4 linked regions of the Notamacropus eugenii genome follow. The protein of the gene in region 1 interacts with the protein of each later gene in a pairwise test. Links are inferred from orthologs where the notes say so. Each region holds a gene or a part of one and is shown on either strand. Other genes may lie near its edges. The genes, in order: FSD2, FAM107A, CORO1A and SPATC1L.

Region 1 (7,694 bases):
GTTTAATTAGAAATGTCTTCATAAATATTAATGATATCATGGAAAAAATTGGTCAAACTTTCCAGACATCAGAGAAATACAAATGACAATACCTCTGAGGTGTCACCTGTGCTAAGATGGCAAAGAACGTTAAAACTAAGAAAATTCAACAGGCATACAGCTCCACTCACTGCTGGTAGAGGTGGGAATTAGGGGATATAGAATAGGTGGCAGTATATAGTAAGAATGATCATACTGTTCATGCCCTTTGACTTCCTAAAGCAAAACAACAGTATTGACTGTGACTATGTAAAATTAATAATAAAAGAGCAATAAAATCTCCAAAACTATGTAGAAGAAAAAAGAGATTAGAATGGGAAGTGAAAGTAAGCAGCATGTTTTTATTAATGTTAATATACATTTTTTTAAAAATATGAATGAAGTTTGTGATTTTACCTACAATCACCTTTTGTTTCATTGGGATGAATGTTTTTGTTGATGGTTACTGTCTAGAGTTAAAAAAAAATAAGAGAAAAAATATTAGATATGGAGTTGTGTATGAGAGGCAGCATAGTGAGATGAAAAGAACTGATTCAGACACATTAGAGCAAGAGTCATTCCCCAGTAGATAAACAGTCAAAGGATATGAACAGGAAGTTTTCAAAGGAAGAAATCCAGGCTATAAATCAGGCCTGCACAACTTGTGACCCCTGGGCAGCTTATAGCCCTCACCTGCAGAAAGGTGTAGAGGAAAACATCCTTTGTATGTAGAGAATATCCTTTGGCAGTGCCACAAATGGCTTAAGGGCCATAAGTGTCCACCAGCCCAAAGTTATGCAGGCCTGCTATCCTGCTATAAATCATCCATGAAAAATGTTCTAAATCACTAATAGAGGAATGTGAATTAAAGCAAATTTGAGGTTCTGCTTCCTATCTATCAGAGTGGCAAAGATGACAAAAGAATAAAATGACAAATGTTGGTAAAGCTATGGGTAAACAGGTACACTAGTAATACTGTTAGTGGAGTCCAGTTACTAAGCTAGCAAAATGTATCCCCTTTGACCCAGCTTTGCCACTACTAAGCCTACACCCCAAAGAAATCAAAGAAAAAAGATCTCTATCATAAAAACATGTATAGTAGTTCTTTTAGTGGTGGACAAAAATGGGAGATTAAAGGAGTATCTTTATATTGGGGAATGCCTAAACAAATTGTGGCATATGAATAAAATGGAATTATTATACATGTATATATTCCATTAGATATGTATTCTGATATATAATAGAATATTATATATATGTGCTATAAAAATGATGCAATAGACAATTTCAGAGGAAACTGGGAGGACTTTTATGAACTGATAAAGTGAGCAGAATTAGGAGAACAACTCATATAATTATAGTATTAGAGAAAAATAGCTTTTAAGTCCCTAGAACTTTGATCAGTGATAATAAAAACATGAGTTTGAAAGAATAAAAATAAATGAAACCAAGAGATAATAAACTCAAAATTCAGAAAAATTTTTGGACATGGCTAACGTGGGAGTCTGTTTTACCAGACTATGTCCACAGAGATTTTTTAAAAATTGATCAATAAGGGGAGACGTAGGAGGATATAGTAGGAGAGACATTTAATTTTTTAAATATGTTAATTTAAAAATAAAAGTAATAAACTATTACAAAAAGAAAAGAGCACACAATTTAGAATTTAAAACCCCAGACTTTGAGTCCCAGCTTTAGGATGATAATTTTAAAGGCATTTAAGCTCTCTTAAATCTCATTTTCCTCATGTAAAAATGGAGATGTCATTATTTGTACTGTCATTCAGGATGGTTGTGTGAAATGTACTTTGGAAACTACAAAGCATTATACAAAAAATTTTATTCTAGCTGGCACTGACGTAGCACTTTAAGGTTTACAAAGTGTGTTGCAATATAACCTTCACTATGACCCAATGAACTATTATCCACTTTACGTTTGAGTAAACTAAGGGTACAAGAAGTCAGGGTCACACAGTGTCTTTCACGAAGTTATTTTAACTTAGTTCTTCCTGAATCTTAACCTAGCATTCTACCTACTATACCCTGTTGTCTCTCTCTGTGTGTATAAATACATATACACATAAATGTGTATATGTGCGTATGCATGTATATGCACACAAACATATGATCTGTTGTTATTAATGAGAGTTCCAGTCTTCATTAGTCCATCAAAACAACCTGACTATACAACCAGATTACTTCCTTTTACCAGGGATCAAGGGTGTGAGGAAGAGGAGAAGAGAAAATCATAGAACAAAAGCTTGGAGAATCTTTTCCGAAATTAATATCTTCAGTTAGCAATCTGGATTGCTGACACAAGATATGCAAATTTGATGATATAATACACACAGATACATATATATACATATATACATATAAATGCATCAATAAAAGCATGGCTAAATGTTAGAAATATGTTAAGTTATAGAAACTGTTAGGATATTAAGTTAACCACTGTACTTAAAATAGACTAAGATATATTGCTTAAACACTCTCTTCCCACCACTTCCAAAAACTTTCATTAGCATAGACAAAATATCCTATTTATAACATGGGAACTTGTCACTACTGATTTTAAAAAGGAATAGAAAATGATTTATGTCATTTATTGCCATTAAATTATACCTATATAAAACATCTTCAATTAGCCATGATGTTTTGTTTTGTTTTGGTTTTTTACATAAGAGAAAGTTTTTGGATCAAGTGGTTTGCTTAGTCTACAAGGACAGACACATTACGATGCAGCATGCTGAAATAAGGGTTTTTAAGAATCCAACATGATTTAGAAACAAGTGACTACAACTATATATAAACTTGCCTTCTAACTTAAGAATCCATAAATTCTTCTTTTAACTCAGATGACACCGAATTTCTGCAAAGAAAGAAAATGAATTCATCTTCAGTCTTTCAGTGCCAGCTTTCTGAGAGTAGCCTAGGAAAACTATATTGGAGTAATTCTGGATGACTCCTTCCCCCAAATAGTAACATGCCAACCATGAGCAAAGGAAACAAATATAGATCAGGCCCAGCTGTCCTGTAGTTTCACACTCCTCAGGTGTCACCAGGCAGAATGTCACATGTTACAAAGCTAATTGGAAATCATGGTGTGGAACTAAGTGTTTCAAGCCCCTTGTATAATTATTATGCATTTTATCTTACAAAGCATACTTAACCTAATTCTCTCCATTGCTGGCTAAAGACTGGGCTACTGGAAATATGTGGAGGACAGACTCCTACACCACATAGGAAAGGCAACACACTGAATGTAGTTCCAATACTTCAGTCCATCCATTAGGTTCATAAGTGGTCCCACAGACTAACACTTTTCTAGGTGGCACTGAGATCAACAGAGAAGCAGGAGCTCTTGGGTGGCCTCTGCAGCATGACACAAATATTGGTGGTGTCTTAGAATTCCAGAGCAGCTTCCAAAGGTCTCAGCTAATAGAACTTGGGGTTAAGGTTAAGGATAAAAGTAGAGATATGGGTATGGGTGCCAGATAGGTTGCAATATAGCTATGATCCCTCAGTGAATCCAGTTCTAGGCCATGTGGAATCCTAGGGGGTGGGGGAAGTTCTGAGTTTTTCTAGAGCAATGTTTCAAAGAGGTTTGGGTTAATCTTAGTGCCCTGAAAACACATGCTGGTGTGGTCTGGAGCTATGAACAGACTAGGGAAACATAGTATCCTACTTGAGAGCCTACCTTGACTTTGAGAGACAGCTCAGAAGCCAGTACCCTGCAAAGTTACATCCAGTCAAATGAAGTTCCCTGGCCCTGCTTCAATCCACAATCTAGGGGAGTCCTGAGATGTGGGGGTACAGAGGCAAGACAGAGTGGGATAGAAAATCTCCCCCACTAAATATGTCACCAGAAGACATTAATTCAAGTTCCTGCTCTTCCATTTACTAGCTGTATGACTACAAGCAAATTACTTAATATCTCTGAGCCCCTAATTTCCTAATCTGTGAAATGGTCATAATATAATCCTTATGCTATCTGCCTTTGGGGTTGTTGTTATCAAATCCTTTCCTTTTACAGTTGTGGAAACTGAGGCTTAAAAAGGTTAAATGGTTTGACCAAAGCCACATATCTAGTGTGAGAGATGAGATTCAAATCCAGGTCTTTCTGACTCCAAGTTCAGTGCTTTATCTGCTACATCATGCTGTCCATAATACTTTGTAGATTATAGCAATGTGTCCTACCTTTTATTATTATTACTTCATAACCAGTCTGCTATGACACTCTGAGAGGTTCCAGATTATTATAGCATTAGAATATAAAATCAGAATGTTATGGTTGGAAGGAATTGAAGATGTTATCTACTCCAACTTCTCATTTGATGTATGGTGAATGCAAGAATGGCAGAGTAAAGTGATCTGTCCAAGGTCACAAATTAGTGGCAGAATTGAGAACCAGAGGCTCAGGTCCTTTGACTCCTAGGTCAATGCCCTTTTTTATGTAATAAAATGTATTCTAACCACGTGCACTTCTAGATATTCTTCTGGGAATATGGAGACAAGTGCTAAGTGCCTGCTCTGATATTTTCCAGAAACATTCTCAGGGTGTCATAGAAAAGTGAGCATTAAAATGGTAGCTGTTTATAGGTTGTCAGTTTTAGAAAGAGTGGTTGTGTCCTAGAATCCAATGTTCCTTGGATCTATGACAGTGCTTGGGTGAGGGGTGTAGAGGGAAGTAGAGTGCTCTGTTTCGTAGTTCAGATGCTTTCAGTCTGGTTTTCCACTTCTGAACTGGAAAATTACCTCCTGATTGTCTTTCTCCTCCTGTCATCTTCTCCTCGACTTTCCTCTGAACTTCTGAGTTCCTAGTGGGTGAGAAAGGAATGGGAAAGTCACATTACTGGTATTAGAGTGAGTAATTACAGTTCTTCTATTTCCCCTCACTCTCCCACTTTGCTCCAAAAGAGAACGTGTTAGAATTGAACAAGGGAAGGAGCTTCCTCTTTCTTATCAGGTATGAGAATATAGATGTCTCTGTACAGAGAAGGAAATTGTATAGCAACTTTCATAGCAATTTTTAAAATTAGATCTTTTTCACTCCTCCCTTTTCTTTTTTAAATTCAATAGTATTTTGTTTTTTCTAATTACATGTAAAGACAATTACATGTAAATTTTCAACATTCATTCTTTTGAAAGATTTTAAGTTCCAAATTTTTCTCCCTTCCCAACCTTTCCCCACAGCAGCAGGTAATTTAATATAGGTTACATATGTTTTGTAGTTTGTCAATTGATGCCTCTCATGAAGCAGGCTAAGCTGCAAGAGGAATCAGCAACTTAGTAAGAAAACACAGGCAAATTTATCGTGTAATGATGCTGATTACACAATGGAAATTATGAATATTAAAAAGGCAGGAGGAATTTGTTAAGGCATTAGGTAATGGGAAGGGGTCCCTTCTATGGTTCAGTGGTCAAACATTCTGGTTGTGCTACCCTCTGATTGGCTAGTTATTATGGTCCTATCTTGGTCAAGATGGATAGTTAGGTACTGTGGTCCTGTCTTGGGCTAAATGGATGATGTGATTGTGGTTGAATACAAGAACACATCTCTTCAAATATGTAAATTGGATCTGGGGACAGTGGCTAGTCAGGGCAGTGGCTGTATTAAGTCTGGGGGGGCCTGTGGTGTGGTTAAAGCCAGACTATGTGGTTAAATCAGAACATGCCTTCTGCTCATTAGGGCCTATATGGAAGTTAGAATATTGGAGCTGGGGGCAGATTTATTAGGATTCCATCACGTCAGTAATCATGTAAATATATTTCCACATTAGTCATGTTGTAAAAGAAGAAACAAAACAAAAGAGGGAAAAATCACACAAAAAAACTCCACAAGTGAAAATAGTATGCATTAATCTATACTCAGACTCCATCAGCTCTTTCTCTGAATGTTAATAGCATTTTCCATCATGAGTCTTTTGGAATTGTCTTGGATACTTCTATTTTTTCTTAAAGTCCCAAGTAATGAAGCAATGGTTTAAATGTATATTTATGTCATCCTAAAAGTTATAAACTTGTATAAAAGGAAGTCAGAATGAAAGTGACCCTCTAGAAAAAGGAGACATTTGACTAATAGTACTAAGAGGAATGCTTTGCTTTTCATTTGGAAACCTTTCTTTCTGGCCATATTTCTCAGTGACCATTTCTCTCTTATCATCAGGATCACTTCAAAGCAAATATGTCATGAAAATTTACATAGAATACGGTGATTATTGACATCTCAATAGATTTTAAGGCTTGCAAAATTTATGTTAATAATAATAGCAAATACTTTACATAAATTAAGCATTTGTGTAGGCATAGACCTAGTCAGATCTAGGTCTTTCTGACTCCAGGTCTAGTCCAACATTTATTTTATTCTGTTGTCCCTATCAATAATTGTTTAACTAGAACCAGGCAAATAAATTACAATAAATGTGAGAGAGTGTGTTATGTTGGAGAAAACCCTAGACTAGGAGTCTACTTGCTAGCTGGATGGGTGACCTTGGACAAATCACTGAACCACTCTGCTCTTCAAGCTCCTCATTTGTAAAATATAGATAATGAGATCTGCCTTTTCAACTTCATAGGGCTATAAGTCCCAAATGGCATAATGTATGTAAAACATGCTTTGTAAACTGCTAAGTGCTATATAAATTTAACCTCATAAACATTTATTACCCACATAAAGGCACTATCCTAGGTACTAGAGATGTAAAGTGGAAAGATGGGGGAGAAGGGGGCATTTGCAACATTCAAACAACTAAGTGTGACACAGAGCAAAGTGTAAGGGGGCAATGGAGAAATCAAGAAAAAGCATCCTAGGGAAACTTGAGGAGGAAAAGAAATAAGCATTTAGTAAGTACTAGGCTAAGCATAGTTTATAAATATCATCTCATTTGATCCTCACAACAACCCTTCAGGGTAGGGTATCCAAATTTTACAGCTGAGGAAAATGAGGCAAACAAAGGTTAAATGACTTTCCCAGTGTTATATAGTTAGTGTCTGAGACCAAATTTGAGCTCAAATCTTCTGACTCCAAGCCCAGGGCTCTATCCATTGCACCACCAGCTACCTCCTCTGAAAGGGGATGTATGCCTTAAAATTTGAAAGAGAAGTGGTAGCCAGACTTGGGAAGGCCATAAATTACAAGCTAAGGCATTTGTACGTGATTGATGATCTTACATGAGCAGACCTGAGAATTAGCAAGATATTTTTTGTCAACTATGTGAAGGAAGAAGAAGGAGGAGACTAGAGAAAAAGCCAAACACAATCATCTAAGGGAGAAGGGATAAGGGACTGAGTCAGAGTCAAAGTCAATGAACATGTAGTAGGCACTGTGCTAAACTCTGGGGTTAAAAAAAAAAAAGGCAGTACCTACCCTCAAGGAAGTCACAATCTAATGCATGAGACAAGGCATGAAAAAAGCTGAAAGGAAGAAGGGAGATTATCAGGATGAAGGGGAGGGATGATGTAGTAGAGTGGAGTAGAGGGAAATGCTCTGAGAATGTGTGAATTTCTGAGTTGATTCCATCCTGCTGAAGATGAGTTTCTAGAGATGATGAAGTCCAAGAAAGTAGACTGATTATAAAAGGACACATTAACATATCAGTATCTTTTTATTTTAACTAGGAAAATTCTAGTGAGGCAAATCCCTCTACTAATGCAGATTAGCACCTTCTCTGCAAC
Region 2 (7,425 bases), on another chromosome or scaffold:
GGCCAGGCTCCCAGAAAGCTTCCTTCTGTAGCCATGAGCTTGCCAGAGATGATCCAAGGGCACAAGACTGGGTGAACTCTGATCTGTGCCTCCTCTAGGCTTATGCTGTAGGGTGTCTTTGTTCTCTGCATAGCTTGTTTCTTCATTGCTTCTTTAAAAGTTGAGAAGGGGAAGATGATAAATGTTGGAAAGGATATGGGAGAGTTGGAACACTAATTCATTGTTGGTGGAGCTCTGAGCTGAGCCAACCATTCTGGAGATCAATTTGGAACTATGCCCAAAAGGCGACAAAAATGTGCATACCCTTTGACCCAGCAATATTGCTTCTAGGACTGTATCCCAAAGAGATCATAAAAATGGGAAAGGGTCCCACATGCACAAAAATATTTATAGCAGCTCTCTTTGTGGTGACCAAGAAATGGAAATCAAGGGGATACCCATCAACTGGGGAATGGCTGAACTAGTTATAGTATGTGAATGCAATAGAATACTCCTGTGCTATAAGAAATGATGAACAGGAGGACTTCAGAGAGACCTAGAAGGACTTATATGAACTGATGCTGAGTGAAATGAGCAGAACCAGGAGAACATTGTACACAGTAACAGCCACAGGGTATGAGGACTGTTTCTGATAGACTTAGTCCTTCACAGTAATGCAAGGACCTAAAGCATTCCCAAAGGACTTGAGGTAAAATGTCATCCACATCCAGAGAAAGAACTATGGAATTGATTTTTCATGATTTTCTTGCATCACTCTCATTTCTCTTCCCAATTTTTCCTCCACCTCTCTTACTTGATTTTCAAAATCCTTTTTGAGTCCTTCCAGGGCCTGAGACCATTGCATATTTTTTGGATGCAGAAGCCTTGATTTTTATGTTTTCCTCTGATGGTATGCTTTGTTCTTCCTCATCCAAAAGGATGGAAAAAAATACCTGTTCACCAAGAAAGTGACCTTCTATAGTCTTATTTTTTTTGCCCTTTTTTGGGCATTTTCCCAGCCTATTACTTGACTTTTGAGTCCTTTGTCAAGTGCAGGGTATACTTTAGGGACCTGTAAGTTCTCAGTTCCTCCAAGGTGGCACAATCAAGGGAGAGGAGTTTACTCCTCTCCTGGCCTACACTCTGGTCTGGTAGCAACCACAAGTTTTCTGCCCAGGATCTGTGAGTAGAATTCCCTCTCCAGAACCTCCACCAGATCCACCAGGCCAGTGCTCCTCCTCACCCCAGGACTGCCACTCAGAGTCGAGACCCATATCAGCTGATCAATTCCCCCGGGGTCTTTAGGCTGAGGGCTCCTAAAATGAATGCTGCTACCACAGCAACTGCCACCAACCTAGGACCAGGGCCAGACCATGTTCCCTTCTTACCCAGGTGAAAGCTGACCTTTCTCACTGACCTTTGAAGCTGCCTTTGGTGTTTTGGGATTGAGAAATCTGGGAACCCCAGCTGCTGTCTGTTATTCTGTACCCTGAAGCCTGCTCCAGTCCTGTCCCTGCCACACGGCCAAGGCTAGGCTGCTCTCTGTCCTGAGTCAGTGCGCTAGACCTTTCCTGTCAGCCTTACAGGCTGTCTTGGCCTGGAAATCTCTTTCACTCTGTCATTTTGTTGCTTATGCTGTTCTAGAATTTGTTTATAGCCATTTTTTACAGATATTTTATGGGATATAGGGAGAGAGAGCTACAGCAGGTTCATCCTTCTACCAGAACTATGAAATTGGAATACAGAATGAAGCAGACTATTTTCTCTTGTGTTATATTTTGTTTTGCTTTGGTTTCTCCTATTCTTTTTAATTCTTCCATACAATATGACTAATATGAAAATGTGTTTAATAAAAATGTATGTGTAGAATCCATATAAGATTGCATGCCCTCTCAGGCAGGGAGGATGTAAGGAGGGATAGAAAATTTAAGACTTACAGAAGTTGAAAACTGAAAACAAATACATTAATTTATTTTAAAAAATAAAGTTGAGAAGCAAATGAAACAGTTGAGGATTTCACACAGTCCTAGCTCCTTTGCCTTCTGGAATATCATATTCCAGGCTCTCCAGTCCTTTAATGTTAGAAGCTGCTAAATTTTGTGTTATACTAACTATGGCTCCATGATACTTGAATTGTTTCTTTCTGGCTGCTTACAATATTCTCTCCTTGACCTGAGAGTTCTAGAAATTGGTTATAATATTCCTGGGAGCTTTCATTTTAGGATCTCTTTTGGGAGGTGATTGGTGAATATTTTCAATTTCTATTTTACCCTCTGTTCCCAAAATATCAGAGCAATTTTCCTTGATAATTTCTTGAAAGATGATTTTTTTTAATCATAGCTTTCAGGTAGTCAAAGAGTTTTAAATTATATCTCCTGGATCTATTTTCTAGGTCAGCTGTCTTTCCAATGAGATATTTCATGTTGTCTCCTATTTTCTCATTCTTTTTGGTTTTGTTTTATTGTTTCTTGATTTACCATAAAGTCATTAGTTTCTATTTGCTCAATTCTAATTTTTAAGGAATTATTTTCTTTAGTGAGCTTTTGTACCTCCTTTTCCACTTGGCCAAATCTGCTTTTTTAAGGAGTTTTTATTTTCTTAGTGAATTTTGGTGCCCCTTTTACCATTTGGCCCAGTTTGTTTTTTATGGTGTTATTTTCTTCAATTATTTTTGTGTCTCCTTTACCAAGCTGTTGACACATTTTTCATGATTTTCTTGCATAACTCTCATTTCTCTTCCCAATTTTTCTTCTACCTCTCTTACTTGATTTTTCAAAATTCTTTTTGAGCTCTTCCACAACTTAAAACCAATTCATATTTTTTGGGAGGTTTTGGATGCTGGAGCTTTGATTTTGTTGTGTTCTTCTGTGTTTAGATCTTCCTTGTCACCATAGCAACTTCCTATGATCAGAATTTTTTTCTGCTTGCTCACTTTTCCAGTCTATTTCTTGACTTTTAACTCCTTGTTAAAGTGGGGCTCTGCTTCTAAGGTGGAGGGCATACTGTCCCATACTTCAAGGATTTCGTACAGATATTTTCAGAGATATTTCTAGGGACCTGTAAGTTTTCAGTTCTTCCAAGGTGGTATGATCTAAGGAGAGGTGTGTTTCTACTCTCAGGACAGTGGTCTGTGAGTGACCACAAGCACTCTTTTCTGTCTTGGAACTGTGATGGGGTGCCCTGCTCCACTGAGGCTGCAAGCTGTAATGTGCTAGAGTGCTTCTCCTTGCCCTGGGACTGCCACCCAGAACTGCGACCCAGATCAGAGTATGAGCAAAGCAATAGAGTCTTGCCTCAGTGCTAGCAAAGAGGATACTGTAACCTCCTTCTGACCAGTTGTTTGACTCCTTTACTGTCTGTGGGCTGCTACTACAGAGGTAGCCACTGCCACTGCTGATTCAGTGGCTCCCAAGTTCTGCTCCTGGTTTTCTGGGGCCAGACTATACTGGCATGACCTGTACTGGACTGAGCTCTACTCTCACCCAGGTGGCACAGATCTTTCATACCAACCTTCTAAGTTGTTTTTGGCTGGAAAATTATTTCACCCCATCCTTTTGTGGGTTCTACCTTTCTAGAAATTTTTTATGGCATTATTTAAAGGTATTCACAGGGGTTTGGGGGAGAGATCAGGCAAGTCATTGCCTTTTCTCTAACATTTTGGCTCTGCCTCCTAAATTTGATAATTGTTTTTAAAGGAAGATTTGAACAATTTGATAAATTTGATACAGATTTAAATAGCTGCCACAGTGGACATGTTTTATACAATCTTCCATGTATTCAATCCGTGCCTCTCTACATTAGATCTCTGGGACCAAGGCTGTTCATTAAAATTCATCAGAATTCAGCTGCTTTCATGGGGTCTTCCTGGCAACTGGAGTTGTTTGTCATTTATTTCTCCAGATCATTTTACAAGTAAGGAAACTGAGGCAGAGTGAAGTGACTTGCCCAGGGTCACAGAGGTAGTGTCTGAGGTCAGATTTGAACTCAGGTCCTCCTGACTTCAGAACTAGCACTCTCTCCACCTGGCTGCTGGTTTATAAATTCCCAAGATTATAGGTCAAGAGTTGGTAGGGACTTCGAAAGTCATCTACTCCCATCTCTTCATTTTACAAGTGAAGAAACTGAGGCACCAAAAGTCTCAGTGATACCCCAGTGACTTAAGTAAGATTGTAAGTAACAAAGTCAGCATTTGAACCTTGGTGCCTCTGTGATTCAGTTTCCTCATCTATAATGCTACCTTCCTTCCAGGAAGACTGTGAAGAAAAGTGGATGTTCATCCATACTGGCCCTGGGATCCCAGCAGCCTGGCCCTCTCAACAGTAACATAATCCCCTGAAATCACCCAGGAAAGGTTTTGTGAGAGGAGCAGATCAAAATGTACCGCCTGGCAGGGGAGGGCAGGGGCTGTGCTGAGCCTGCCCATCTCACATGACTGCTTTCCGTCTCTGAAAAGATCTTACTGAAGTGAGAGAGAGAGAGAGAGCTCAGTAGCAGAGCTCCTGCCAAAAAGCTATGCACACTTGCCAGCATGTGCAGCCTCCGAGATTCAACTAGCTTCCCCCGTGCCCGGCCGGCACTCATGGCCCAGAGAGATATGGGGATCAGGGTGCCCCCTGAGGCAACAGGTCTCTACCGAGCCATGCTGGTTAAATCAGGTAAGAGCAAGCCTGGAGTGGGACCCTCTCCCCTGCTCCCCAGCTGGGCAAAGAATGTGTTTGCCTGCTTCCCTGTGCCAGTGTCCACCTGGGCACCTGTCCTGGCCCATCCTGGCATTTTTCTGGCCATCATGTACTGAAGAGTTTTAAGTCGGGATCCTAGTCCCACTACCAGACATGTGATTCCTTAATATGACTGATTTTAAATGATTGCTGGCACTTCTCTAACTGTGGGTATTATGATTATCAAGGAGGTATTTCTTTGGTTTCTTTTAGTTTGTTTTTTAACAAGTCCTACAGTCCAGGTAAGAAACTCCTAGTTTCAGGGGAAATAGCTTGCCTTTTGTAAAGGGGGAAAGGGATCGGATGGTTCCTATTTCTTTTACAATTTCATTTTGAGAGAGATATTTTCAATAGTGCTCATAATTCTGCGGGTTCAATCTTCCTTCTAATTCAAAAACCTGATCCATGAGAAATCTGCCAGTCTATGCTTCAGTCAAGGGCAAAGAGGTAGACCCAGCTCTGTAACCAAGTGAGGCACCCTGAGTGCCTTTCTGGGGCCCTGCCAGCTGCCAGCACTGGAGCCCAAGGCTAGCTGGGGCTTTTTTGTGTTGTTCCTGGAGTCTTGGGAAGCATCAGACAGCAAAATTGGAGGGATTTGGTCTGATTCAGCGGCTCCTGGAGTGGATCATTCCGGGACATGCTGAGAATAGCTAAACTCAGAAGCCTGCACTGGGACACAAAATGATGCTGCCTGGAGAGACCAATGCAGCCTTTCTGAGGTGGGAGTCAGTCAGCCTGGACTGATTGAATGTCCGCTGTCTGGAGAGATCTGAGCTGGAAGCAGGGGATGAAAAAATATATCAAAAAAACTTTCAAATCATGGAATGCCCAAGCTGGAAGAGAATTCAGAACTCCAGTCACCCTCCCTCCTCCCCATTTATATTCATTTGACAACTGAAATTCAGCGAAGTGAAGGGACCGGTCCAGGATCACACAGCTCCTTGGTGGAAAAGATGGAACCCTGATCCGCAAACTAGTGTTTATTCAGTGTCCTTTAAAATTCAATCAAATTCCACTTTCTCCAGGAAGCCTTCCTTGATCTCTCCCCACCCCCACATTCACAGGTAATAATCTTATCTAACAGTGGAATCACCTGCTAAAGAGGTAGGGGACTCTCCCTATATTTGAAGTGTGGAGGCTTAAGGTAAGGGGAATTCTTGTTCCAGTATGGATTGGATTAAGTTGCTGAGGTCCCTTCCAACACTGGGATGCTTTCATTTTCTGTGATTCTTTGTAAAGTTATATTCTATACATCCCTCTAGGTTTCAGTCCTATAGATGAAAACCAAGTGGCTCCTTGGGCTCTCTCATTTATCTTGCTTAGTACCCACAATTTGTGCTCTTGTGTATGGACCTCTGTGGCCACGAGCTCCATTGCTGACTTCCTTCTTGCATTTTTGACTCCTGAGAATTATGGGGTGTCTCTACTGCTGTTATTGTAACCATGCTCTGTGGTCCTGAAAGTTGGTTTCTCCTTTCACTCTCCTCCCTTTCCAGTTTGAAGTCCCTTTCTTTTACTAGCATTGCAGATCTCTGAGCAAATATATTTTTTAGCCTTTACTATCTACAATCCATCCCTAGCCAAGAGTGTATCATTCCTATATTTTAAGCCTTGGTCCAAAAATTAATTTTTTTTGTTTTCAGGTAAACTACTCAAGTAGTTCTTCACTCCTCAGATCTGTCTTTCTCTTCCAAAACTTCTGTTTTAATTGACAAACATGATGAAGAGACCACTGGGGCCCCTAAGGTCTTCATTTTCTTGCCCAGGACTTCAATGTCCCTACCATGTTTGCTAACTTTCTTATGGTAGTGTAATGTGTCCCTAGATTTATCACGGGAAGTAGGAAGCAAGTTTGTCAAGTCCTGTTGTGGCTATGTGCACCTAGATGTGGGTTTCATTTCTGCCTCACTCTCCTCAGATTCTAGGACTGTACCTGGCACGTAGTAGCTATGTCCAAAGGTTTGCTGATTGACAGTTTGACAAACAGCTGTCTTGGTTTCCTCAGCAGAGAGTCACCAGCCACCACTGACTTTCCTCTGACCCTTACTGAGTAACCTCTCTCCTTAGAGCCCTGCCTCCTCTCAGGATGGCTCAGCTCAGCCCTCTGCAGGGAGAGTCCATCACCTAATCCTCATGCCCCCACTTTTGTCACTCATATTTCCCTTTCTTAAAGTTCTTACCTTCTTCTCCCCTCTCATGCCCTGACCCACATCAGGGCACTCAGATCCCTCTTCAGCTCCTTCCTTTCTTTTTTTGTTTGTTTGTTTATTTTTACTTGGAAGTTTTTCTATTTTTAAAGGCATATTTTTACATCCCTTAGCAGGAAAGAGATTCCTTTTTTCTTTCATCTTTTATTGTAGGACAGAGACCAGCCTGAACTGTGTGCATTCATAGTCATCCCCTTGCCATGGCAGAAGGACTGAAAGCAGCCACCCTCTCTGCAGGCCATTGTGCCCGTCTCTCCTTCCCCTTCTGTCCTCTAAGTGTCAGAAGAGGGATCCCCTGGAGTCTTTTCCTGGCACAGGGCAGACTGGGTGTCTTCTGAAAATCCCCTCCACCTTGGAGATGCTGTGCTCTCTGGCACTGTAATAAACAGTGTGTGAGAGTGTAAGCGATGCCAGTTTTTAAGAATGTAGTCCTGAGCTGGTGCTGTGTAATGGAGTCAGTTCTAATGACCAAGTTTGGTCCCAAGTGGCCAGAGATGGGGGAATGGAACATTGCATAGTTG
Region 3 (7,495 bases), about 130 Mb from region 1:
TATAGTCTGGCAAAAACTCCCATATTAGTGATGTCTAAAAATGCATGTATATGTCTCTTTTTGCATTTTAAGTTCAACAATTCTCTCTTAAGAGATGAGTTAGATGTTCTATCTACATTCTTTGGACTTGTGGAATACTACATTGATCACAGTTCTAAAGTATTTCAAAGTTTCTTTTCTCTGTGTTGTCACTGTACAAATCTCTTGTTGTTGCTTACTTCTCACTGCATCAGTTCATAAAGATCTTGCCAGTTTTTTCATAAATTGTCCATTTTGTAATTTTTATGGTATAATAATATTCCATTACATCTATATGCTAGAATTTGTTCTCCAGTAGGATGCCCTTAGCTTCTCATTTTTAGCAACCATGAAAAGAACTATTATAAATATTTTTGTATTTATAGATACTTTTATTCTTTCTTTTATTTTTTAGTGGTATAATTGGGTCAGAAGGGTATGAAAAGTATGGTAATTTTCTGGGCATAGTTCCAAATTTCTTTCCAGAATAGCTACATCAAATCACATCTCTACCAACAGTGCATTAGTATACCTGTTTTCCAGCAGCTCCTGCCACATTTGTCATTTTCCCTTTTTGTCATCTTTGTCAGTCTCATAGGTCTGAGGTGGAACCTCAGAGTTCCCCTAATGTGCATTTTGCTAATTACTGTTGATTTAGAGCATTTTTTCATATGATTTTTGGAAGTTTGATACCTTCTTCAGAAAACTGCCTGTTCAGCAATTGCTTCCTAGCAATTTAAATCAGTTCCTTATTAATATCCTGGAAATGATAACTTTATCAGTGAAATGTCGCAACTTTTCCCTCAATTACCTGTTTCAATTTGCTTGTGCATTTGATTTTATATCACTAAAACCGTTCATTTTATCTTGTGTGATCTTTATCACTTGTTTAGTTATGAATTTTTCCCTTATCCATAGATCCAAAAGATAATGTGTTCCTTGCTCCCCTAGTTAGTTTGTGACATGACTTTTTTATCTAGATCATGTATCTGTTAGGGACTTATCTTAGTGTATGGTGTGGTCTAAACCTGATTTCTGTAAGTCTGCTGTCCAATTTTGCCAGTAGCTTTTGTCAGATTGTGAGTTCTTACCTCAGTTGCTGGGGTCTTTGGGTTTATGAAACACTATTTTGTTGTGGCAGCTAGGTGTCATAGTGGATAGAGCACCAGGCCTGGAGTCAGGAAGACCCGAGTTCAAATTTACCCCCAGGCACATACTAGCTGGGTGATCCTGGGCAAGTCATTCAACCTTGTTTGTCTCAGTTTTCTCATCTGTAAAATGAGCTGGAGAAGGAAATGGTAAACCATTCCAGTATCTTTGTCAAGAAAATCCCCATGGGAGTCACAAAGAGTTGAACACAACTGAAAAGAATGAATAACAAAATTATTTAGGTCTATATTTTTGCAAAAAGCATGTGTGTGTTTGTCCTTCAATGCCAAAGAAGACCATGCCATCAGAGAAATGATGACATGATCTGCACTTGACTTTGTTTTTTTTGAGTGAGGGAGGGCTGTGCAAGTCATCAGCCTCACTTCTCCTCCAGAGCCATCTGGATCCAGTGACCAGATATTCATCAGGATGACTGGAAATGATCCAGGATGACGCAATTGGGGTTAAGTGACTTGCTTAAGGTCACACAGCTAGTGAATGTCAAGTGTCTGAGGTGAGATTTGAACTCAGGTCCTCCTGACTCCTGCACTGGTACTCTATCCACTGTACCACCTGCAAAAAGTAAAGTTTTATAATTAGATTCATACAGTCCCTGGGTGAATTTTGGTATGTATACTCCAAAATAGTTATTTTGAATGGAATCTGTCTTTCCAGCTCTTCATGCTGAGTTTTGAGGTCTATATATAGGGAAGCTCATGATTTAGATCTATTTATCTTCTATCCTGCAACTTTGCCAAAGTTATTTCAACTGATTTTTCAGTTGATTCCCTAGAGTGCTCCAAGCACACCATCATATCATCTACAAAAAGTGATCATTTTGTTTCCTCTTTGCCTACACTTATTTATTCTTTTTTCCCCCACTTTACAGCTGAAGAAATTGAGATTCAAAGAGGGGAAGGCCATGCAGTAAATGGTGAAACTGGCACATCATAGGTCTTCTGCTCTAGTCCAGCATTATTTCCATCATGCCACGTGGTTTCGTTGTATAGTCAACTAGGTCCTTGTACAAAATTCTAGACTCAGGAGGGGCTTCTTCTGTGTTGCCATCAATGGCCTAAGGATGGTCCTTGCTATGCTAACAATCTGTGTGACTCCCTCTCTACTACACACTAAGAATCAGTAGCATATGCTCAACCATTGGAAAGACCTTAGAGGAAACCAGCCCAACTTCCCTCAGCGAAAGAAGTCCTCGATGAGCCTCTGACAGGTAGCTAGCCTCTGAATAATTCTCATGAAAAGAAGCTTATCATCTCTCACGAAGCAGCCCATTTGTTCCAGACTGGGACAGCTCTGACTGTAAGAAAGGTCTTCCTCACATCAAGCCAATCAGCCTCCCCAAAGAGTAACAGTTTAAATTTTTACTCTACTTCTTACTACGTAGGTGACCTCGGGCAGGCCATTCCCTCTCTACACTTCAGTTTCCTCACCTATAAAACGATGGGGTTGGACTAGATGACTTTTATGCTTCCTTTTGGCTTTAAGATCTATGATCCCATAAACTCCCAATTGATTCTGCCCTCTGCAGAGACATGGGAAGGAGGGGGTAGGGACACAGCAGCCAGGGAAGGAATGTAATCCCTCTTCTTCATGACTGTTTTGTTTTCTCTCTAAATTTTATCTTCTTCAAATGAAATATTTCTAGTTCCTTCAAATGATAGGATTTCTAGACCTTTCACCATCTTAGTCAATCTTCCCCTAGAAATTCACCAGTGTTTCAATGCCCCTCCTCAGATGCCCTCCTGTCATGAAGCTTTCCTTATAGTGCTGCCAAGACATCCAAGCTAGCCATTACATCACATAGTTTACTTACTATACGTATAAGGACCTTAAATGTTTTTCTTGTCAACTTCTGACCATCCAAGTTTCTGCTTTCCTATATTTGTTCTGAGGTACAGCCACTGTGGTAATAAAGAAGACAATTAAGGAATGGTACCTCAGTTTAATCCAGTTTTAGCATGGAAATTGCCAGATAATGAAGGAGAATTATATTGTACATATAAACATGAATTTATGAGACTGGACCACTTAGCCCTCACCCGCAGCAAAAATCTCTTCAGAGACTACTGACCTAGAGAAAATGTATTGGAGCTGCTTCTAGAGAGATTTATGTTAGACTTTGTGAAAGCCTTCCTGACTGTGATGGAGTGACTGAGTGAGGGGAGTGTGGTGGTAGCATGAATGCTCTCCTTCATCAGAGACATCCAGTAGATATGAGATGGAGTGAGGGTAGAAGGAGGAATGGCTCTGAGGGGTCCCTGGAAGCTCCTGTTAATCCTTCTCCAAAAGTTCAGGAGTCTCCTCCTTTTCCTCCTTTAAATCTTTATTCAATCAGTCACTGATCAAGCATTGATTAAGAGTTTACTATGTACAAGATTCCTGGTCTATCCCCCACCCCAAGTGTATCCCTTTCCAAGGTGATTTTGGAACTAGCTGCCTTCTCTTCCTCAGGGAGTCAGTAGTAGAGACCTGGAAATTGGTATTTTGACATTTTGACTACCCAGGCCAGTGCTTTTAACTACACAAAACCTTGAGAGCCCAATAAGTACCTAGGTTAAGGGAGTGGTGGGATACTGGCATTGAGAACGCTTGAAGGTGCCTGCCTTAACCTCATGCCGGAGGCAGTAGGGGAACGGAATAGATTCGATAGGAGACTCCTGCCTGTGGGACTAATAATACTAATTATACAGAACTAAGAGACCTCATGAGACTGAAGCAAAGGGAATCAAATTGGGGGGTCAGGGGGAGGAGGAGGAGGGAGAGAGAGAAGGGATCCGTGCATTTGGAGATTAAAAATATGAACTCAAAGGGTAGTGTGGTGAAGTAGTGTGAGCCTGGGATTTACAGAGTGCTTGGGTCTAAATTCTAACCCTAGCTCATGTCAAGGCCTATTACCTGCACAGCCTTGTGAGAGTCACCCAGCATCTCTGGGCCTCAGTTTCCCCATAGGTAGAATGAGGGGATTCCTCTAGGGCTCCTTCAAGCTCTGGATGGAGGATCATATATAATAGGATTGAGAATCCCTGACCAGCCCCACCTAAAAGGAGCACAGGGGAGCGGCCCGATCCCTCAAAAACCTGTCCTGAAAAGGGTTCACACACTACTGCCTCATCTCCATCTCATCCACTCTGCTGGTGAACTTTGCCTGGGGCAGGATTGGGGAACTGAGACCTAAAGACAGTTAAAGGAAGAGTAGTGGGCGTGCTCCATTTCATAGCCCGGCCTCCTTCCCTCCCCAAAGGGGTGCTGCCGTTCTTAAAGGGGCCGGGCTAAGCCGTCTGCTTCTCATTCATTGTCTTGACAGGAGCATCCTTTGCCGGGCGGGTGGTGTCTCCCAGGCTCCGGCTTCAGCTCCTTCCTCCTCATCAGGCCTGGTCTCCCTGGATCTCAGTTTGCATCAGGTGAGCCTAAGGGACTTAGGGACAAGAGGGGATATGTCCACGGGGAGGCTTGGAGGGTCTGGCCATCCACCCACCTACCAGCCACCTGTGGGTGTGGGTTTGCGTGTGGGAGAAATGTAGGCTGTGGGGACAGAGATGTCAGAGTTATATCCCCACCCCAAGTATTTGTGTGCCTCCCCTATGTTTGACTATTTCTGTGTCTGTGTGGGTGGGGTGTCTTAAGAGGCTTCATTGCCAGCCCTGGATCACTGTAGAGGTCGAGTTGGGGGGATGGGAAGGGAGGAGCTTGTGGGTGAGACTCTGAGTTCCATCCCCACCCCCACCCCCTCCAGCTCCCCTGGAAGAGTCCAAGGGAGCAGGCCTGAGAACAAATCCCCCAGAGTATGGGAGGTGTTCGGCAGAGGCACAGAAGACAGAAGGATGAGCAGAATGTTCAGAACTGGGAGACAGGAAGAGGTTTAAGAGAAAAACAAGAAAACCCTAAGTTCCCCTTTCTGTGGTTTTTGAGCCCTGCAGGGTACCTGGGGTGGGAAGGGGGACTGGGTGGGGCAGCAGCTTCCTGCCTTTCCTTCCCCCACCATAAAAAAAAAAAAAAACCCATCAAATCAACCTAGGCAGGTTCAACTCAAGAGCTTGCCTTTCTTAAGCTAAAGACAGACAGGATCCTCTGCCCTGTGAGTCGGAGGGATGAGTGGGAAGGGGGTCAAGATCTAGGGCAGCAGCAGACCTTTGTGTCCTTCCACCCATGGCTCCCCTACCCTCTGAGGGGCACACAACCTGTTGCCCTTGCTGTCGATATCCCAGCCAGTGCTCTGGTTCTTCTAGCTCAGGTCCAGAATCCTCAACTTCCCTCTCCATTGAGGCCTAGTTTGCTAAAGCAGAGCTTCCTAGGAAGAGGATGGAGGGACAAGAACAGGACTCAACAGTCACACCACCTCCTCGAGGACAGGGGCCAGTCAGGGATGGAGATCTGGGATCATGGGGTATATGGGGGTTTAAGGAGAGAAGCCTCTGTATATCCCTGTGGATTGAGCAGGTAGTGCAAGGTTTTGGGGAGTAAGAGGGAGGGCTGGAGCACCATGCTCTGATCCAGTAATGGAGGAATTTTTCCCAGCATGGGAGGGCCTAAAAGGAACAGGTATCAGATGTAAATGAAGCTTGGCCTCTCCTTTAGGTCTAATCTTCATGGCCTCCTGGAAGGGGGGGTTTCCCTGCATCCTCTGAGCCTCTAGTCTCTAAGGTACCAGGAGAGGGGCAAAGCAGCAGAAGGGAGACCATTTCTAGAAAGATGTCTGCTGGAGAGAGGAGGGGATTTACAAAGGTTATCCCCACTATTCTCTGGCAGCAGTCATTCATTCAAGTCCATGGATCACCTACTTTTGTGCAGGGTTTTATAAACTAGGTGCTATGAGAGACAGAAAGATGCATGAATATGAACCTATCTCCGCTGTCATGCAGGGTAGTCAAGTTAGGAAGATGAGACATGAAAAGATAATTAACAAATGCTAGATGATGCCTAAATGCCAACTGGGTGGCACAGACAGCAACATGCTGTAGGAGTGGAGGAAGAAGAAATCGTGCAGTCCATGTGTGCAGATGGAGAGTGGGGAGATGTCAGGCAGAGGGACAGCCCTGGTAGACATGGGCACACCAGTGAATGGAGAGCCCAGGGTTTCTGCAGGGTGGAATGTCATGGGAAACAAAGGTAGGAAAGGTAAGCTCATGGAAGGCCTTGAATACCAGGACAAGGAAGTCGAACTTGATTCAGTAGTCAAGAGGATAAAGGTGGTAGAGGGAGGTATCAGAATCAATGCTTTGCTATGGAAATTTTAGAGCTAATGTGGGAGAATGGTCTGGAAGAGGGAAGACTGGAAGCTGAGAGATCAGTGAGGAAGCTGATCTTTTAGCTCATTTCCTTTGAGCTGGGAGAAGGTGGGAAGCTCACAGGACCCCCTTTGAGTCTCTCTTCATATGTCTACCCCCAGGATGAGCCGACAGGTGGTACGAAGCAGCAAGTTCCGACATGTGTTTGGGCAACCAGCCAAGGCTGACCAGTGTTATGAGGATGTTAGAGTCTCCCAGACCACTTGGGACAGTGGGTTCTGCGCTGTCAACCCCAAGTTTATGGCCTTGATCTGTGAAGCCAGTGGGGGAGGGGCCTTTCTGGTGCTGCCCCTGACCAAGGTAATGAGATCCTGGGAGATGGGAGAAACCAGAAGGGTAAACCTTCTATGGGAAAGGGGATAGGAAAATAAAGGTCCCCTCAGCCCCCTGAAGCCCTCAAGTAGTAAGGAAATGTCCCTCCTCCAGGATTTTAGAATCCAGCAAATTTAGACCTCCAAGAGAGAAGAAATCTAATCCAACTTGCTTAGAAGAGATAAAGTCCAAACAGGATACTTGACTTGTCCAAGGTCATGATTATTAGCTGACCTAGATCTAGACCCTGTCTCCTTTTCACCTTCTTCCATTTCTTCAGGTGGTCTCATTTTAGGGATACCACCTGGGGAGGGAAGGGAGTCTCCACAGTGCACCAGAAGAAAGCTAAAGGACCAGCAGAGAATACCTTAAGAAATCTGGTCAAAGGGACAAAAACAAGATACTCCACATTACCCTCCCCATCTCATCATCTGTGGGTCAGCTGGTCTTCTGCTTCCCTATGAGCTCCCATAGGGACTTACTGGGGACTAGGAAGGGGTGGTAGTGGGGGACCTAGCTTAAGGGGATCTGACGCCCCAGCCTCCCTCCTCAGCTGTGCTTCTGCAACTTGGGCTGGGGGGATGGGGGTAGTCTGAAGTCTGAGGTTGTTACCTTAAAAGGGCTGATGGAGACAAACAGAAGAGGAAGTGGTTTTGGGTGCTGAGAGCTCAGCCCTTGGCCTCCCCCACCCAACTCTCTACACCGGAAACCTT
Region 4 (7,079 bases), on another chromosome or scaffold:
GGAGGAAGCCTCTTTTCCATTCCTTCTGTGGAAACCTTTCCAAGTTGGATTCATAGGAAAGCCTTCTTTGGTTTAATGAAATATCTCTTGGAGGAGATGTGGGAAAACTGGGACCCTAATGCACTGTTGGCAGAACTGTGAACTGATCCAATCATTCTGGAGAGTAATTTGGAACTGTGCCCAAAGGGCTATAAAACTGTGCATACCCTTTGATCCAGCAATACCACTGCCATATCTATTTCACAAAGACATCCAGAAAAGGAGGGGGAGAGAAGGCTATCTATACAAAAATATTTATAGCAGCTTTTTTTTGTGGTAGCAAGAATTAGACATCAAAGGGATGCCCATCCATTGGGAAGTGGCTAAGCAAGTTGTGCTATAAGAAACAACAAGCAGATGATTTTAGAAAAACCCGGAGAGACTTACATGAACTGATGAAAAGTGGAATGAGCAGAACCTAGAGAACATTGTACACCATAACAGCAACATTGTTTCATGAAGAACTATGAATGACTCAGCCATTCTCAGACATACAATAATCCAAGACAACCTCAAAGGACAATGATGACACAGACCTCCAGAGAAAGAACTGATATTGATTGAATACAGACTGAAGCAGGCTATTTTTCACTTTCTTCCATTCTTTTTCTTTTATTTAATATATATACATACTTGTGCAAAATGACTAGTATAGAAATGTTTTACATGATCATACATGTATAACCTATATCTGATTGCTTACCATCTCAGGGAAAGGGGAGGGAAAGGAGAAAAGGAGGGAGAGATATAATTTGGAACTCAAAACTTTAAATAATTTTTTTTTAAAAAGAAAAACATACACAGTTATGCAATACAAAGAAAAAACAAATCCAAATGAAACATTTCCCTCCTAACCTCTGACTCCATAGCACCATAGGCAACTTTGAAGGAACAGGACATGAATAGGATGGAAGTTCCTTGATGCCAAGGACTGTGCTGGTTTTTCTCTCTGTACCCCCAGCACCTACCACAGGGCTGTGCTGTGTCAGTACTTGATAAATGGTGAATGAGGAACAGCCCCGTCACCTCCCTGCTTACCTCCAGCCCCAGGGGAGCAGGCCTCAGGGTATCCTGGGACTTTGGGGAAGAGGAAGTCTCGGCTTTCCCGACAGTCTCGATTTCGGCTGCTGTTTTCATGGCAGCTCTCGCTGAGAAGCCTCTTCAGCATCTGGTTCTCCTTCATTAACCGAACCTGCTTTTTCAGGTCAGCATTCTCACTCATCAGCCTGTTCATCAGTTCATTCCCCTCAGCCATGTCCTTCTTCTCTTCCCTAAAGGAAAGGTACGTAAGGCTACTTTACTACTTTTAAGGTGGAAAGATGACTCTCAGGTCATACTCAAGAAGTCGGCAAATGCTTTAATGTTCCATGACAAGTACTGGGGCTTCTACAGCTCTATGATGTCACATCATCTTAAAGGAACAGGTGTGGTCAGAGAGGACCTGAGGGGAGAAACCGAGGGACCTTCTTCCTCCAGAACTCAGCAAGGAGTCACAGCTCACCAGAGCTGTACTAAAGGACTTTCTGTAGACCCATCCCCAGTGGAAAACTTCCCTCCACAGGGCCAGCTGAATCAGCTGGCACACCAGCCTACTAAGTCTAAAAAGACATGTCACAGAGAGATAGGACAAGGTCATTTGAGCCACAGAATTGAATTTAGAATTGGAAAGATCAAAGATCATCTCATTCATTTTTAAAGATGAGGAAATGAAACCTCAGAAAAGAGAAGTTCTAGGTCATACAGCTTGTGAGTGCCAGAACCTCAGGCTCTGCTTGGCTCTCAAGGAAGCATGAAAAACAGACAGTAGCCCCACTTGAGGAGATATGGCCATGGGTCTCAAGAAGGAACTGGGCAGCACCTGCTCCTAGCTGGCAGTTTCCTCTCCTTGGAAAGGAGCCTCAGAAGCCACTGAGTTAGCCCATAGCTCAACCCCAACCAGGGATTCCTTCTACGGGGCTTCCAACAAGAACTTTCTTAATATCCCAGGTTTTCTGCCCCTCTGGTTCCCAAGGACCATGGAACCTGTGACTCGTTAGAACAAAAGGATTCAGTTGCTTTTCTCCCTCTCAAAAGGACTGTGCCAATAATCTCCTAGGATTTAACACAGTAATGATCCTTCAAGTCCTACAAAAAGAGGACAAGTGCACATATGGAATCCAAATGTGCTATTAAAATACACCCTCCTTCCACCAAAAAAACATCCCCTTCCCCTTCTCCTGCTGTCCTGTTTGACCCAAATGTCCTATGTCCCCAGTACCAACGGCTAAGATGTTCATTAACTGTAACTCTGGGAGCCTTACTGTACTTGAAAAAGGAGCTTGGGGCTTCAGTGACCCCATAGGAAGACAGTTTCATTGTCTGACTGACCTCACTGACTGTCTCACTGACTGACCTCAGTGAGCTGTGTAAAGAAGAGACCCAGGCTCCTCTAACCCATGGGGTTCACCAGGGTCATAAGCACAGAGCAAACCCCATCAGTCGATAGGGAGACTGTCCTCTTAAATGGAGGATGTAGGAAGGATGGCTTCCAGCCCTGGAACCCTGCCAAACCTCCTCAGGACGTCTGCAGTCTACATCCATATGGAGACAGTAAAGTGGATGACAAATGAGAGGGTAGACCAGACAGCCTTTGAGTCCCATCTAGCTACGATCCTACAGCTGAGCCTAGAAGTGAGTCGCAGGTGAGATGGGGCAATGCTTTCAGTGATGCTTCCAAAGAACAAGGCTTTGCAACCAATGTGTTCCCAGGGTTGCTCCATTCCTACGAATCATAGAACAGTACGATCTCATGGAAACCAAAATAGCAGACGAGCCAAAAGGGGATGGAAAGACATCCCTGGGGGAGGCTGCGGCACCCACTGCCTTCCTAGTACCTGCTCCTACATTGACTGCTGGGACACTGTACCCTCATGGTCTTGTTTCCACCTCCGAGTGCTTGTCCTCCCTTGCCCTGCTTCTCACTCCATCCTCCTCCCCTCTAGTGATCTCACACGTTTCTATGGCTTCAATTATTACCTCAGAGCAGAGGATCCCCAAATTCATCACATCTACCTCAGGCCAAATCTCCTGGGATGGCCTGCAGGGACCCCCAATCAGACAGCCTCCAAATGCGGCTCCTCGTTTCCCTGGAGGCTGACCTTCCTCACTTTTCTATCGTGGCCAATTGCTTCCCCATCTACCCTGCCTCTGGAGAGTCCTCTTTTGCTTTTCCTTCCCCTTCACATACCCCCTTGGTTCTGCCTCCTACTTTTTTGAACCTGTGTGGCCCTTCTTGCTCCTCCTCCAGCAGTGACCTTAGACCCTAATCCTAGTCTTGCTCTTCTCACCTTTGTACTGATTCCTTTTGTTTACATTAGTCATTCCTGAATAGAATTGTGCCCCAACCCACTGAACCTTCCCTTGTAACAAAGATTTTTTGAGCAAAACCAGCAGACTGCATGTGACAATGACTGCCACACCTTCTATGCCCTTGGCCCCCCATCTCCTTCACCCACATTTTAAAGCTTCAGTCCACACTCTCCCCAATACTCTTCTATGCTTTAGCCTAACTCACTCCCCATTTCCCAAATATGAAATACTGACACCAAAACTTGGTTGTCAGAGCCTTGGAGACCACTGTTTCCCCAGGAAATAAAGCCCAGGTGGGTTGTCCTGCTGGTGTGAGAGACAAGGCTGAGGCCAGGAGGAAAGAACGCAATGACAGAATGAACAGCAGGCTTCCTTCTGCATTGCTCTGCAGTGAGGAAGTGGATTCAAGTCTCAACAGGCAAGAACAGGAGACCAAACAAGCAAGATGAAATACAATAGGGATGAAGACTTGGACTTGAATCCAACATTCCTCCTTCCAGGTGCCAGATAGGCATGACACAGTCAAACAGCAGTGATCTGACAAAACTCAGCAAACTCACTAAGCACTAACAAGGCCATAGGGCAGGCCAGAAAGCTGTGGGGACTGCATGCCATCCAAGAGTAGGAGGGCACCCATCCTGCTGTCCTGTGCTTTGGTCACAGCCTTGGGTTCAGATCTAGGCACCCCAAGTTGGGAAGACAGTGTTAAACTAGGAGTATCCAGAGAAGGGAGATCAGGCTAGTGAAGGGAGGCCTTGCTTTAGTGCCATCAGGGGACTGGTCGAGGATTAGAATGGGGACAGCTAGCCTGGAGAAGGCTCTTGAGGACATGCCATCTCTAAGTATTTGGAAGTCTACCATGTTCTTCATGATATCGGGGGCACCACCAAGCTGAGCAATGGGGGGAGGTCATGGAGGGAAGATGGACATGCCCTTGGATGGGAGGTTGGGGAGGTGCTCGATGGGCATCTCCTTGGTACAGGTACAGGTGAGTTGAGCCAGCCTCTGAGATTCTGAGCATGAGAAGCAGAGTCATCCTGGCAGAGCTACTGATACTTGGCTGACCCGGCTGCTTCCCAGGAGACAAGGTTCCCTCCCTCCTTGTTTTTCAGGAGACATAGGAAGAGGGATGACAGGTTTTTAGGGGGTGACAGGCTTTCAAATGAACAGTCCTTGAAAACAGGGAGCTGGGAGGGGAAAGGGCACAGTGGATGAGGCAGGGGCTGCTCGACCTTCACAGGACATTCTACACTGCAGCATTGATGGTGAGACCCCAGGTATGAATGTCACTCATTCAAGCTCACCTTGGGCTTCAGTTGGAGATATCTAGGGAAGGGGGGCAGGACACCTTGCCCCAGGCCACCTGAAAGAACAGAATGGACAAGCATGGGACACAAAGGATTGGGGAAGGGGTGTCTGGAAGGGCAACTGAGTCCTGAACCCAAGTAGCCAGAAGCCACATCACACAGGCAGGCTTTCTACACTCAAGAGCAGAAAACCAACTCAAGGCCTGGGTTTTTGACTAGAAAGCTGACCTGGTCATCAAGTCTGCCAGCAGAGCATTGAGGACACATTCAAAGGCTGGCAGAGAGGCCTCAATCTCCTGGGGGGGAGGCGGGGTAGGAGGAAGAGGCAGGATATTGGCCCAATGAGTCACTGGGAGATAAATACAATGGCTCCTCCCCCTCCCTCCACTCTACCCCATGACTACACCACAATGACAAGAGAAGATGTAGGGGTGGGAGAGTTGAGCAGTGTCCTCAGGATCCCAGGAGAGACCTTAAGAAGTAGACTCCAATAAAGGCATTTAAAATTCAGGTTTTCATTGCAGTCAAGTATGGTCAAAAAAAATATCAAACACTAGCAAATTTTTAAAAAGAGATGACCATGAAATGGACAGAGTCAGAAGGGAGAGAACTAATGAAGAAAACTCTAAGCATGAGTACACAACAAAACTGAGCATATAAAAGAAATGAAGATTTAAAAAAATATAAAATATCAAAATAGGCAGAAGAGTGAAATAAACCCAGGGAACCCGTCGGAGGAAAAGTTCAATGAGCCTTTAATGGGAAGCCACCAAAAAGCCCCTGACACAAGTTTCGCAAAGGGGAATTTGATCAAACAAAGAATAATCCCTCTACTCTATAAATTGCTTTCAAAAACTGAGAAAGGTTCATCACAGAAGCCAAATCATGGTCCTCATCTTCAGACTAAGTTCAATCCTATTAACAAACATCAATGCAAAAATATGGGCAAATAAGATTTATCAACAGCAAACAAAAAAGATTTGTCATGATCAAAGATTAGCAAAGTGGAAATAAAACAGATCAATTTTTTAAACAAACATAAAACTAACGTTTATATCAAAAGATGGAAAAAGGCTTCTGAAACATATGATGTAATAAAGACACTTTTCCTTATTACGATTAAAAAAATTTGATTTGATTTCCCTCACACTCAGCAGAGGCTTCCCCACTGGGGACAGGAGTGAGCAGGGGCAAGTCACTTTCCTCATTACAACTGGACGAGTGTTAACAAAGAGAAGCAGCAAAGACAAAAATCATGTTAAATAATCCAATGTTTTATTTAGAATACCAACAAGAAAGCAGCCAAATAATCATTTCAGCAAAATAGCAGAACCCAAGATAAAGGCCCACTGGTCATATTAGCTCTAACAAAACCCAGAAGTAAGTGACAGAAAGGGAAAGGTCTTCTTCAACATTAACTTATCTCTAGACCATAATTATCTCTAGTTTTATAGGTAATTGGAGGAATGTCTGTGTGAACCACCACATGATAAAACAGCTGCCATACAAAGGAATTTAGAGACAAAGACATGTTAATGGAAACAGCAAAGGCTTCCTTTAAAAATTATACAAAGGGAGAATAAGATGTATATGAGTGAACAATGAGGGGAGCACTTTTGCCCACCAGCTTCCAATCATACCCTCAGCCAGTGGGCATCATTCACTCCAACTAGTCTGAATGGGCTGAACATGGTTCCAACAAGTTTGGCCAGGGCTAGAGCCAAACCAAACCATCAAGGAGGCTGAGGTTTGGCAAGTTCAGGAAAATCCAACAAAATATGGAGATTAAGGAGCTCATTATAAAGGCAAAAATTCCGCATTCCAAAAATGGGGGCAAGATCACCCTGCCCCATCTTACCCCAATCAATTCTAAATTATCAAACATTTACAAAGTACTTCAGTCCTGTGCCAGTGTCTGCCCTCCACGGGCTCACATTCTATCCAATGACGGAAATATTGTACAAATACAGGAGGACACAAATTAGAAACTAAAGGAATGTTTGCTCTATCACCATCCATGGTCTTCTTCGAAAACGAAGAACGAACACAGACAGACAAACAGACAGAGAGATCAAGGAGAGGTAGGAAATGTTAGCAGTACTCAAATATTCAATTTGAAGGGTCCAGACAGCTGGATTTCATCCTAGATAAACCCATTCTGCATAACAATAAAAAAGCCCTAGTATATCCAAAATAAAAAGAGAAATACCAGATTAAGGTGGAAAAACCTTTGCTCTAAGTCTTCTCTCATGAAAATCCAAAATCTGTAAAGAGCTAGCTAACACCACTTTCTGAGAGTATGATCCACTCTCTCTTTGAGAGGTCATCAAAGAATTTTAATAGGCAACAGTTTCCAAAAGAAAAATCCTAACCCTCCTGAAAAGC

The links.
Region 2: the proteins of FSD2 (region 1) and FAM107A interact in binary tests that used the Homo sapiens proteins (3 or more experiments, as listed by UniProt). The two-hybrid records come from large-scale screens. The link is inferred for Notamacropus eugenii from reciprocal best matches to the Homo sapiens genes FSD2 and FAM107A.
Region 3: the proteins of FSD2 (region 1) and CORO1A interact in binary tests that used the Homo sapiens proteins (3 or more experiments, as listed by UniProt). The two-hybrid records come from large-scale screens. The link is inferred for Notamacropus eugenii from reciprocal best matches to the Homo sapiens genes FSD2 and CORO1A.
Region 4: the proteins of FSD2 (region 1) and SPATC1L interact in binary tests that used the Homo sapiens proteins (3 or more experiments, as listed by UniProt). The two-hybrid records come from large-scale screens. The link is inferred for Notamacropus eugenii from reciprocal best matches to the Homo sapiens genes FSD2 and SPATC1L.

What each region holds. Positions count from the first base shown.
Region 1 is NC_092872.1:177,483,028-177,490,721, reverse strand, and holds the start of FSD2 (fibronectin type III and SPRY domain-containing protein 2), read right to left. Parts: upstream 3,007-7,694; 5' UTR 2,836-3,006; intron 1-2,835.
Region 2 is NC_092874.1:466,688,053-466,695,477, forward strand, and holds the start of FAM107A (actin-associated protein FAM107A), read left to right. Parts: upstream 1-4,405; 5' UTR 4,406-4,507; coding exon 4,508-4,634; intron 4,635-7,425. UniProt on the Homo sapiens protein: Stress-inducible actin-binding protein that plays a role in synaptic and cognitive functions by modulating actin filamentous (F-actin) dynamics. Mediates polymerization of globular actin to F-actin. Also binds to, stabilizes and bundles F-actin.
Region 3 is NC_092872.1:46,753,966-46,761,460, reverse strand, and holds the start of CORO1A (coronin-1A), read left to right. Parts: upstream 1-4,478; 5' UTR 4,479-4,586; intron 4,587-6,571; 5' UTR 6,572-6,572; coding exon 6,573-6,770; intron 6,771-7,495. UniProt on the Homo sapiens protein: May be a crucial component of the cytoskeleton of highly motile cells, functioning both in the invagination of large pieces of plasma membrane, as well as in forming protrusions of the plasma membrane involved in cell locomotion.
Region 4 is NC_092873.1:68,617,151-68,624,229, reverse strand, and holds the start of SPATC1L (speriolin-like protein), read right to left. Parts: upstream 3,019-7,079; 5' UTR 2,951-3,018; coding exon 2,913-2,950; exon of another isoform or gene 2,407-2,912; intron 1,311-2,406; coding exon 1,078-1,310; intron 1-1,077.